Linked DNA regions of Rattus norvegicus. The protein of the gene in region 1 interacts with the protein of each later gene in a biochemical or structural test. Links are inferred from orthologs where the notes say so. Each region holds a gene or a part of one and is shown on either strand. Other genes may lie near its edges.

Region 1 (3,823 bases):
GCCATGAGCATTTATAGAGCCAGCAATCACTATGCTCCCGGGTTTCTTGGTGACAGGCATGGCCTCTCCTAGGAGAGAGACAGACGTCAATCATTCACTCAGCCCACTCAACATCACATGAACCAAAGACCACCATGACCCCCTCCAAAGAGAGCATAAAACAAGCCACCTAACCTGTGATGAGGGACTCATCTGCCATGGTGTTGCCTTCCAGGACTTTCCCGTCCACTGGGAACTTGCCCCCAGGGACAACCTTGATGATGTCACCTCGCTGCACCAGCTCCATGGGCACTTGCTCCTCTCTGCAACAGAAGACACTCGGATAACATCCTCCTCGTCTATAATTAGAGTGGGTTCTAGACTGACTATTGGACCTTTTTTAGCAAGCCCTATGCACCTAAGAGCTCTAGATTAGCAGACACAACCAATCTTGCATCAAAAATATTCAGGGATGGGTTGGGGATATAACTTGGTGGTACAGCACTTGCTTAGCATGTAGGAGGCCCTGGGTCCCATCCCCAGCAACACACACACACACACACACACACACACACACACACACACACACACAGGGCAGGGGTGCAGGGGTCACCGGTCTATATCCACAACACACATATTTTTGCATCACTGCTCTCTAAATTCTCTAAACAATACAGGATAAACCCATTTGCATTCCGTTTGCATTGCAAATGTATCACAATTATTTTAATGATGGTTTAAAGTATGTGGGAGGATGTGAATTCTATGCAAATATCATTTCATTTCATATGAGGCACTTGGTATCCAAGGGTCCTAGAGCCAAATGCCATGGGTGTTGGGGGACGATTATACTTGCCTCACTGTGAGCAAGGGCTGGGGCTAAACTCAAGAGGGGCATGCACAGTTCATATCAGAGTCCCACTGCTATGCAAGGGCTACAGACTTTATCGTAAGAAAGCAGGCAGCTGCTGAAGGATCCCACTACACAGCAGTACAGACAGACACTACAATGTAGACCTTTAGAAAGATCACTGGTCCAACTGCATTTAGCAGCTGATGCAGGCTTCAGGGTGACACTTGTCACTACACAGGTGATACAAAAGGATCCCAAGCTCTACCGATCGACACAACGTACCTGAGGATTAAGTTGTCCTCTCCCAGGGTCACAACTGTGGCTTCTGTGGCTTGGAGTGACATGAGTTTTGCGAGGGCTTCTGAAGTTTTGCTCTAGGAAATAACCAGGATGAGAGCTGTCGGTCCAAACCCAGGCTGACACTCACGAGGATAGCGCTGAAGGTGGCTGGTGTAAAAACCACAACCGTGCCACTAAGGCAGCCGTGCATGCCAGCACCAGAGCCAGCCCAGCGCTGCTGACGACACAGAGCTTGAATTCCACTGTGGATGAACACAACCCCAGTCTGCCCAGGGCCATTTCCTTTCACCTTCAATATAATGTCCTTCCCCCTCACTACAGGCTCCACAGCAGAGTGCAAAACATCACCCGCTCCGAAGTGTGGATTTCTACACTAACTAACTGCAATCCATTAGGTGCTAAGTTCAGAGTTTGTTCCACCACGCAATTACCCGGACAAAGGTTTTACTAATTAGCCAGATTAGCCGGGATTTCAGAAAGAGCAACCAGCTGGGAGATTAGTGACTTCAGGCCCCTAATTACACGGGGGTTCAGATTCCTCTTGGCCATTCGCTATAGTGTGTGTGATTAGTAGTTCTCAGCACACATTGCCCTTGGGCTAAGACTCAGATTACTGAAAGTACCGATCTTTCCTTAACTGGAAGCTGTAGCTACCTTTGCCACGTGCTCCAGCCACCGTCCCAGGGCGATGAAGACGAAGAGCATGGGGGGTGTGTCAAAGAAGGTCACTGGGCTCTTCTCCGCCTTTTCAGCTATGGCAACCACCAGGATGACCAGGGAGTAGGCATAGGCAATGGTCGTGGCGAGTACGATGAGCACATCCATGTTGGCTGACTTGTGTCTCAGCGATTTGTAGGCTTGGACATAGAAGTACCACCCACCCAGGAACTGAAAGACAGGGAGGGCGAGGGCTGGCTGAGGAGGGGGGAGATCCAGGCTCAGAACAATGAGTATTCTAGGTTCTTGTATGTAGCTGATGCCACTCTATTCTGTATGATTATTTGATAGTGATGGGCACACACGTTGCCTCAGCCTCCAATGAAACACACTTCCCCATTCAGAGTACTACTGCCCCCAGAAATGGATGACCAAGGGTACGGGGTGTTTGGAAGGCAGACATACCATGGAAATGTCTGTAATAAGAGAATGGTAACGACGATGATGCTATTCACTTACATCGTGAATGGTCTCTAAAGGTAAGCCAGTGATGCGAAATATGGCCGCAACTCAAATAAGAGGGGCAGCATCCATTAGTGTTCTCACGTGGCCCCCACCTCCATTAACAGACATCTGTGTCTGTATAGGACAAACACGCATTCACACACAAGCATACACACACATGCAAACACATGTACACATATATACATAGAGACAGAGATAGTGACAGAAAGAGAGACAGAGATAGTGACAGAAAGAGAGACAGATAGAGAGACAGAGATAGAGACAGAAAGAGAGACAGATAGAGAGACAGAGATAGAGACAGAAAGGTTTGCTGTACAAAGGTGGGATATGGGGCGGGGGAGAGAGAAAGAGAGAGAGGGAGGGAGGGAGGGGGAGAGAGAGAGAGAGAGAGAGAGAGAGAGAGAGAGAGAGAGAGAGAGAGAGAAACTCCTGAAGATGTGGCAGCAGTACTAGGAACAGGACTGGGCCAGAGGCAGTCAGTGTAATCATTTGGAGTTCATTTCCCTTTGCTTCAGTATTGGTGAAATTGCTCACAATAAGGACAAAGCCCATTTTCAGTTAAAAAGGAAATATAGGGAAAATAATCCAGCCTACAAACGGTTACCCCCTAAATGTCCTAGTTTCACATGTCAGAAAGTGCACACGCAGACATTCTCACGCATGTATCTCCATCCATGCACAGAGGTTCTACACAGCCTCCTTGCTTTAGAGAACTTCATCCAGAGACGGAGACCATGGCTTTGCCTTTAAGGATACAACAGTCAGCAGAAGCATGAGCTCCAGGGACAACAGGGAAAACTAAAATAATAATAAACCAATCAGGAAGCGAGGACTCGAGGCATTACTGAGCAATGGCACACTTGCCTAGCATGTATGGCATGTATGAGGTCCTGAGTCCTGTCATTTGTAAGACACACACTCACACACACACACACACACACACACACACACACACACACACACACACACACACACACGGGACAGATAGGCTCACCGAGCTGACAAGGAGAGGGTGGCTGTTCTGACAAGTTTTAATCACTCGCAATGACCTGTGACTGTGAAACCCGGCCTTTCTTATTAGTTCCCACATTGGCAGCCCCCCTCTACCCTGCCCTCCCCTCTGGTCATAAGACAGAAATAACAGCAGCAGCAGCTCCCTAGAGGTGATGCTGCAAAGTTGCCATGACTGGAGCCAGGCTAAAGGGCTGCTGACACAGCCAAAGAACAGAGATCCATTAGCCATGCCTGGGCATCAAGGGCAGACAGGTTTAGCCGGCCTCCCAATACATACTTGGACGAAGGTACACAAGATGAAGAAAATGAGGTTTAGAACGGACAGTCCTGGAATGATGTTGTGGTCCAGGACCATGGTCTCGTGGGGCTTACTGCTGGGGATTAGCATGTAGATCATCAAGCCCATGACGGGGATGCCAAACACCAGGCTGCACAGGAAAGATTTCTTCCACCTGGAAGGTAAAGCCGGCCACACAGACGTCAGAACCTCCTGGC
Region 2 (4,568 bases), on another chromosome or scaffold:
GTTGAATCTTCTTACATCCATCACGCTTTGTATCAGATTGAATGGTTGTTAGCACTTGGGACATGGCATTATGTAGTCCAGGCTGGCCTTCAACTTTCAGCAATCCCCCTGCTTCCAATTCTTTTTTTTTTTAAGATTGTATTTAGTGTGTGTGTGTGTGTGTGTGTGTGTGTGTGTGTGTGTGTGTACAGTCACTGTCTTCCCCTGCTTCCAATTCTAAATGATGAGATTAACGGTGTTAACTACCATGCCTAGCTATTATGTTCTTACATTTATTTTAGTTCATTTTATTTAAGACAGGTTTTCCTAAGGTTCAGACTGGCCTCCAATTCATGACTTCCCTGGCCTCAGCCTCCAGAGAATAGGGGGAGGGGTTGTTTATAGACACCTGTGTCGCCATCCCCACCCGTTGCATCCAGCTAGTCTTAGATTCTTAGACTTTTCTGTTAACCAACTTCTTATAAGTTCTATATTCAAATTTTAGTATAGTTTCTGACTGAACCCATCCTGACACACAGAACGACAGATTGCCTTCTTAGTTTAGGGAACTTCTCTTAGCCCTCAGCTCAAGGACACAAATGGCTGGTGGAGGAGATAAATCTAATCTGTTGGTCCTTCTGGCACTGTCGAGGAAGCCCGTCTTCTACATGCGTATCAATTACCCATGAAGTAACTTGGTCGACTGGGCTGCCGTAATTGGGTGAGAAAGACACAGTCTCCCAGGTTTTGTTTTGTTTTGTTTTTTCTTAGGATAAGAGTGGTTAGATCTTTTTTGATAAACTTGACACAAGCCTCGGTCATCTTGGAAAAGGACTGTAACTGAAGAATTGGTTTCATCCAATTGGCCTATAGGCAAGTCTGTGTGGGTATTGCTCCCTCCTGAGTGCTGAAATTAAAGGTCACAGCCACCTTGAACTCTGGATCCTCTGGGTCCTTCTCCCTCAGCTTTGGTTTGGTTTGGTTTGGAGACAAGATTTTTTTTTCTTTTTTTTACATAGCCCTGGATGTCCTGGAATTTGCACTGTAGATCAAGCTAGCTTTGAACTCAGAGATCCGCCTGCCTCTGCCTCCAGAGGGCAGGGATTGAAGGCACCACTTGGCCCTCAACTTTTCAAGACCTGGTTTTAGAGTTGTGTACTGATTTACTCTGTGCCTTACACTTACATTTGGTTTTGTTTTGTTTTGTTTTGTTTTAAATATGTTTTTCAGGAAAGGGTCTCAAGAAGTCCAAAATGGCCTTGAACTTTACAGCTGTGGTTAGCCTTGAACCTAGAAACCTTCTACCTCAGCCGCTCTAGTAACTGGGTCAACAGACCTGCCGCCCTAGGCCAGGCAACTGTAGTTTAGGGACTGAGTAATAAGCAAGAGAGACGGTCCCTTTAGGGAAATACCAGATCCCTCATTCCTAGAGCCTTGGCCTCTCATTCCCTAACCTTGTTTCAGAAATGACCCAGTAGAAGGTACAGGTCTGGTCTCCACAAATTAGCCTCCGACTGGCCCCAAAGAGCCTGGCGGGTCCGAAGAGAGGGGGTACCTAGTGAAATAGTCATGTCAGAAAGGGGCGGTAACCAAGTGGAAGCCAGCCCAAGGGAGGAGCCTGGCTGTAACTGGGACCGAAGGGATCGGAACAGTCTTCCTCAAAGGGCGGGGCCTTGCGGAAGCTAGACCCCGGAAAGGGCGGGGACTAAGTAGAGCCCATCCCTAGGGCGGGGCCCGGCCGAAGACTGGGTTGGCCTGAGGGCGTGGCTTCCAGGAGCGCTCTCCGGAAACGCCGCTTTGGTGTTCGGGAGAGGCGTTCTAGTCCTCGCCGCCGCCTGTGCCGCCGCCTGTGCCGCCTGTGCCGCCTGTGCCGCGTCAGTCATGCCGGTGAGTGGCCGTTCGGCCCGCGGGAACCTCTGTCTCCGGCCTGATGCACGGTTTCCGGGCCAGACGCAGCAGTTAGGGCATAGGCCGTAGCCAGAGCTGCGGTCGTTTCTCACTTTACCTTCCGTACCGGTCCTCCAGCTTCGCGACCCTCGGGAAAGCTGCAGAGAGCAATGTTAATGCAGAACATAGGCCTCCGGATCGCTCTAGAGAGTCTTTAAGAGGCAGCCCCATCCTTTTCTGCATGATGGGAAAACTGAGGCAGGGAGGTGGGGCACAGAACCCACATAGGGATGCCGGTACCTGTCTTTTCCACGTGCATGCCCCTGCAGCCGTGCTGATGGGTTTCCAGAGAAGCAGGTCTGTGTTCACCTCTCCAGCCCACTCTGGCGTACTTCCATCTCAGCACTGGACGACACTAACTCGACAGGGTACTTTCTTCCCAACCAGGAGTTCCCAAAGCTCTGAGCAGAGTTTGAGGAACCGAGAGCAGTGCTTATCTTGCCTTTGAATTCACCCCACTCCTTGCTTAGTTAAATGACGACCTTACATGAGGCCTTAACACATTACACAAGAAGAAAAGAAAAACCCCAGTGCTTGTGGGAAAGCATTTTATTGTTGGAAGCTAGGTAGGATCCAACCTGAAGCCAGACCACCTGGGAAGTGCTGGGCAAAACCAGTTGTACGTGTTTGGGGGCAAGGTCTAATCTCAGTTGAGTTCCCGAATGCTGGCTAGAGCTATGGAGTGGGGAGCCTTTTCCTCCCAGTCTCTCAGCCCAGAGGTCTCCCAGGAGTATTCCATGTTTTAGCAGCTTCACTTCTGAGAATGAACCTGAGGCTTCTTCCTGGTACGAATCCTTAAACCTCTCAGGTGTCTTGTGGTTCTTAAACCTCTCAGGTTCTTGTGGTTCTTGCCCTTTGTCTTCAGATCCTAGCTGCACAAAGCACAAACAAAAAACTTAATAAAGTCCATCCTACCAGGCACGTTTGTCTAGTCTGCCCTGCCAAGTGACAGACTCCTTGATGAACTTAGGATGCCAGAGTGGAAGCTGCCAGGCTCTTGGGGGGGGGGGGGCAGCAGTGAAGAAAGAAAAAAGCTTGAGGACCTCTCCATTCTGTGTCTGCCTCTGGGGATGCAGGATTTAATGGGAGACAAATGGGCACCTCATCAAGCCAACTGCTAAATGCCGGGAAGATGTTGGTCAAGTGCTGCCTCCAATTTAGCCAGGGAAATAAGTCTTACCCAAGACGACTTGTAGACCAAAGCTTAACCCAGAAACCTGAAAGTCTGCCCTTGGTTGCCAACTGGGCAGCCTCTGACAAGTTGTTCTGTCTCTGAGTCTTTATCTCCTCATCTGTAAAATAGGGGCTGAAAACAGATCTTTTAGGACTAAGGTTGGTATTAATTAGAATTAAATCATCAAATGCGTACACAGCCAGTGATCCATCTGTCCTGAAGGAGTAGTGACTCATGTTGATGTAGGTCAAGTGGGGTAGAATTGAGTAGTCAGGCTTCTACCTCATTTTAACCTGGACCTCACTGGTTAAAAGTTCAAGTTTTGTGTCCTCTCTCCAACCTAGGACCTACTACTCATGAGGTGTGTCTCCCTGGTCAGTACTTAATCCCAGAGCTTCAGCTTTCTCCTCTCAGAAAGAAGAATTAGTTTCCTGGCTTGTGGAATTATTGTAGCGATTAAAGGAGACAGTGTAACAAGGTGTTTAGAAGAAGGTCCAGCACATCAGAGATGCGCAGATACTAGTAATCAGGAATCCAGACACCAGTGTTTAAAGACTCAGTATCCTCTAGAGGAACAGTGTCATTCTCCTCTTCTTCCTCCTCCTCCCCCTTCTTTTCCCCCTCCATTCCTACTCTTCCAGGTCTAGAGTCTGTAAAAGAATCATACTACCTACTGGCTTTCTGAACTAATAAATACAATATGTAGTACAACATTAATATACATTATACTTAAGAGGATTCATTTTGTTTGTTATCATTACAGAGCATCACTGTAGCCCAGGCTGGCTATGAATGAATACGTAGCCCAGGATGATTCTTAAACTCAGAGCAATCTTCCTGCCTTAGCTTCTCAAGGGTTGGGATTATAGAAGTGAGCGGCCACACCTAGCTTAAAAGTTTTGTTTTGTGGTGCTAGGTGTTGGGCCCAGGGCCTGTATGTGCTCTGCCACTGACCCTCAAACTCAGACCCTAAAGGATCCTTTTGTAAGGGGTCTAGTGGCACTAGGGAGACACCCAGAAGGTGGAGCAGGTCTAGGGATACTCTTGTGAACACTGGATCACCCTGTCCCTTAGGCCAGCTTTCCGTCATCATGTTTAGTTGCACAATTTGTAGGCAGAGATAGGGAGCTCTGAGTTGGAATTTTGGCCTCCTAGGGCGGATCCCTGGCCTCTGACCTCTGTACTGTGAAAGAAGTCCTTTCTTGCTGTGGTCCTCAGTTTGGAGCTCAGGTAACCATTGACTTTAGCTCCTTGAGCAAAATTATCCTCTGAAATCCCCTTTCAGAGCTTCTTCTGAGAGTAGGTTGTGGGAGCTGGACACCTGGCTGTGCTGAGAGTTGCCTGGAGCAAAGAAAGCCTCTCTTCCCTAGGACCCTTGCACACATGACCTCACCACCATAGTGGCTCCTGAGCATAAGGAAACGAATGCTTTTCTTTTCAAACTAGAAAAATGCTGCAGAAAGGGGAC

Evidence for each region.
Region 2: the proteins of Atp7b (region 1) and Atox1 form a complex in vitro, tested with the Homo sapiens proteins (3 studies listed by BioGRID and IntAct). The link is inferred for Rattus norvegicus from reciprocal best matches to the Homo sapiens genes ATP7B and ATOX1.

Annotation. Positions count from the first base shown.
Region 1 is NC_086034.1:76,703,084-76,706,906, reverse strand, and holds part of Atp7b (copper-transporting ATPase 2), read right to left. Parts: intron 3,781-3,823; coding exon 3,606-3,780; intron 2,021-3,605; coding exon 1,787-2,020; intron 1,207-1,786; coding exon 1,115-1,206; intron 303-1,114; coding exon 175-302; intron 69-174; coding exon 1-68. UniProt on the Homo sapiens protein: Copper ion transmembrane transporter involved in the export of copper out of the cells. It is involved in copper homeostasis in the liver, where it ensures the efflux of copper from hepatocytes into the bile in response to copper overload.
Region 2 is NC_086028.1:40,077,756-40,082,323, reverse strand, and holds the start of Atox1 (copper transport protein ATOX1), read left to right. Parts: upstream 1-1,762; 5' UTR 1,763-1,860; coding exon 1,861-1,866; intron 1,867-4,568. UniProt on the Homo sapiens protein: Binds and deliver cytosolic copper to the copper ATPase proteins. May be important in cellular antioxidant defense.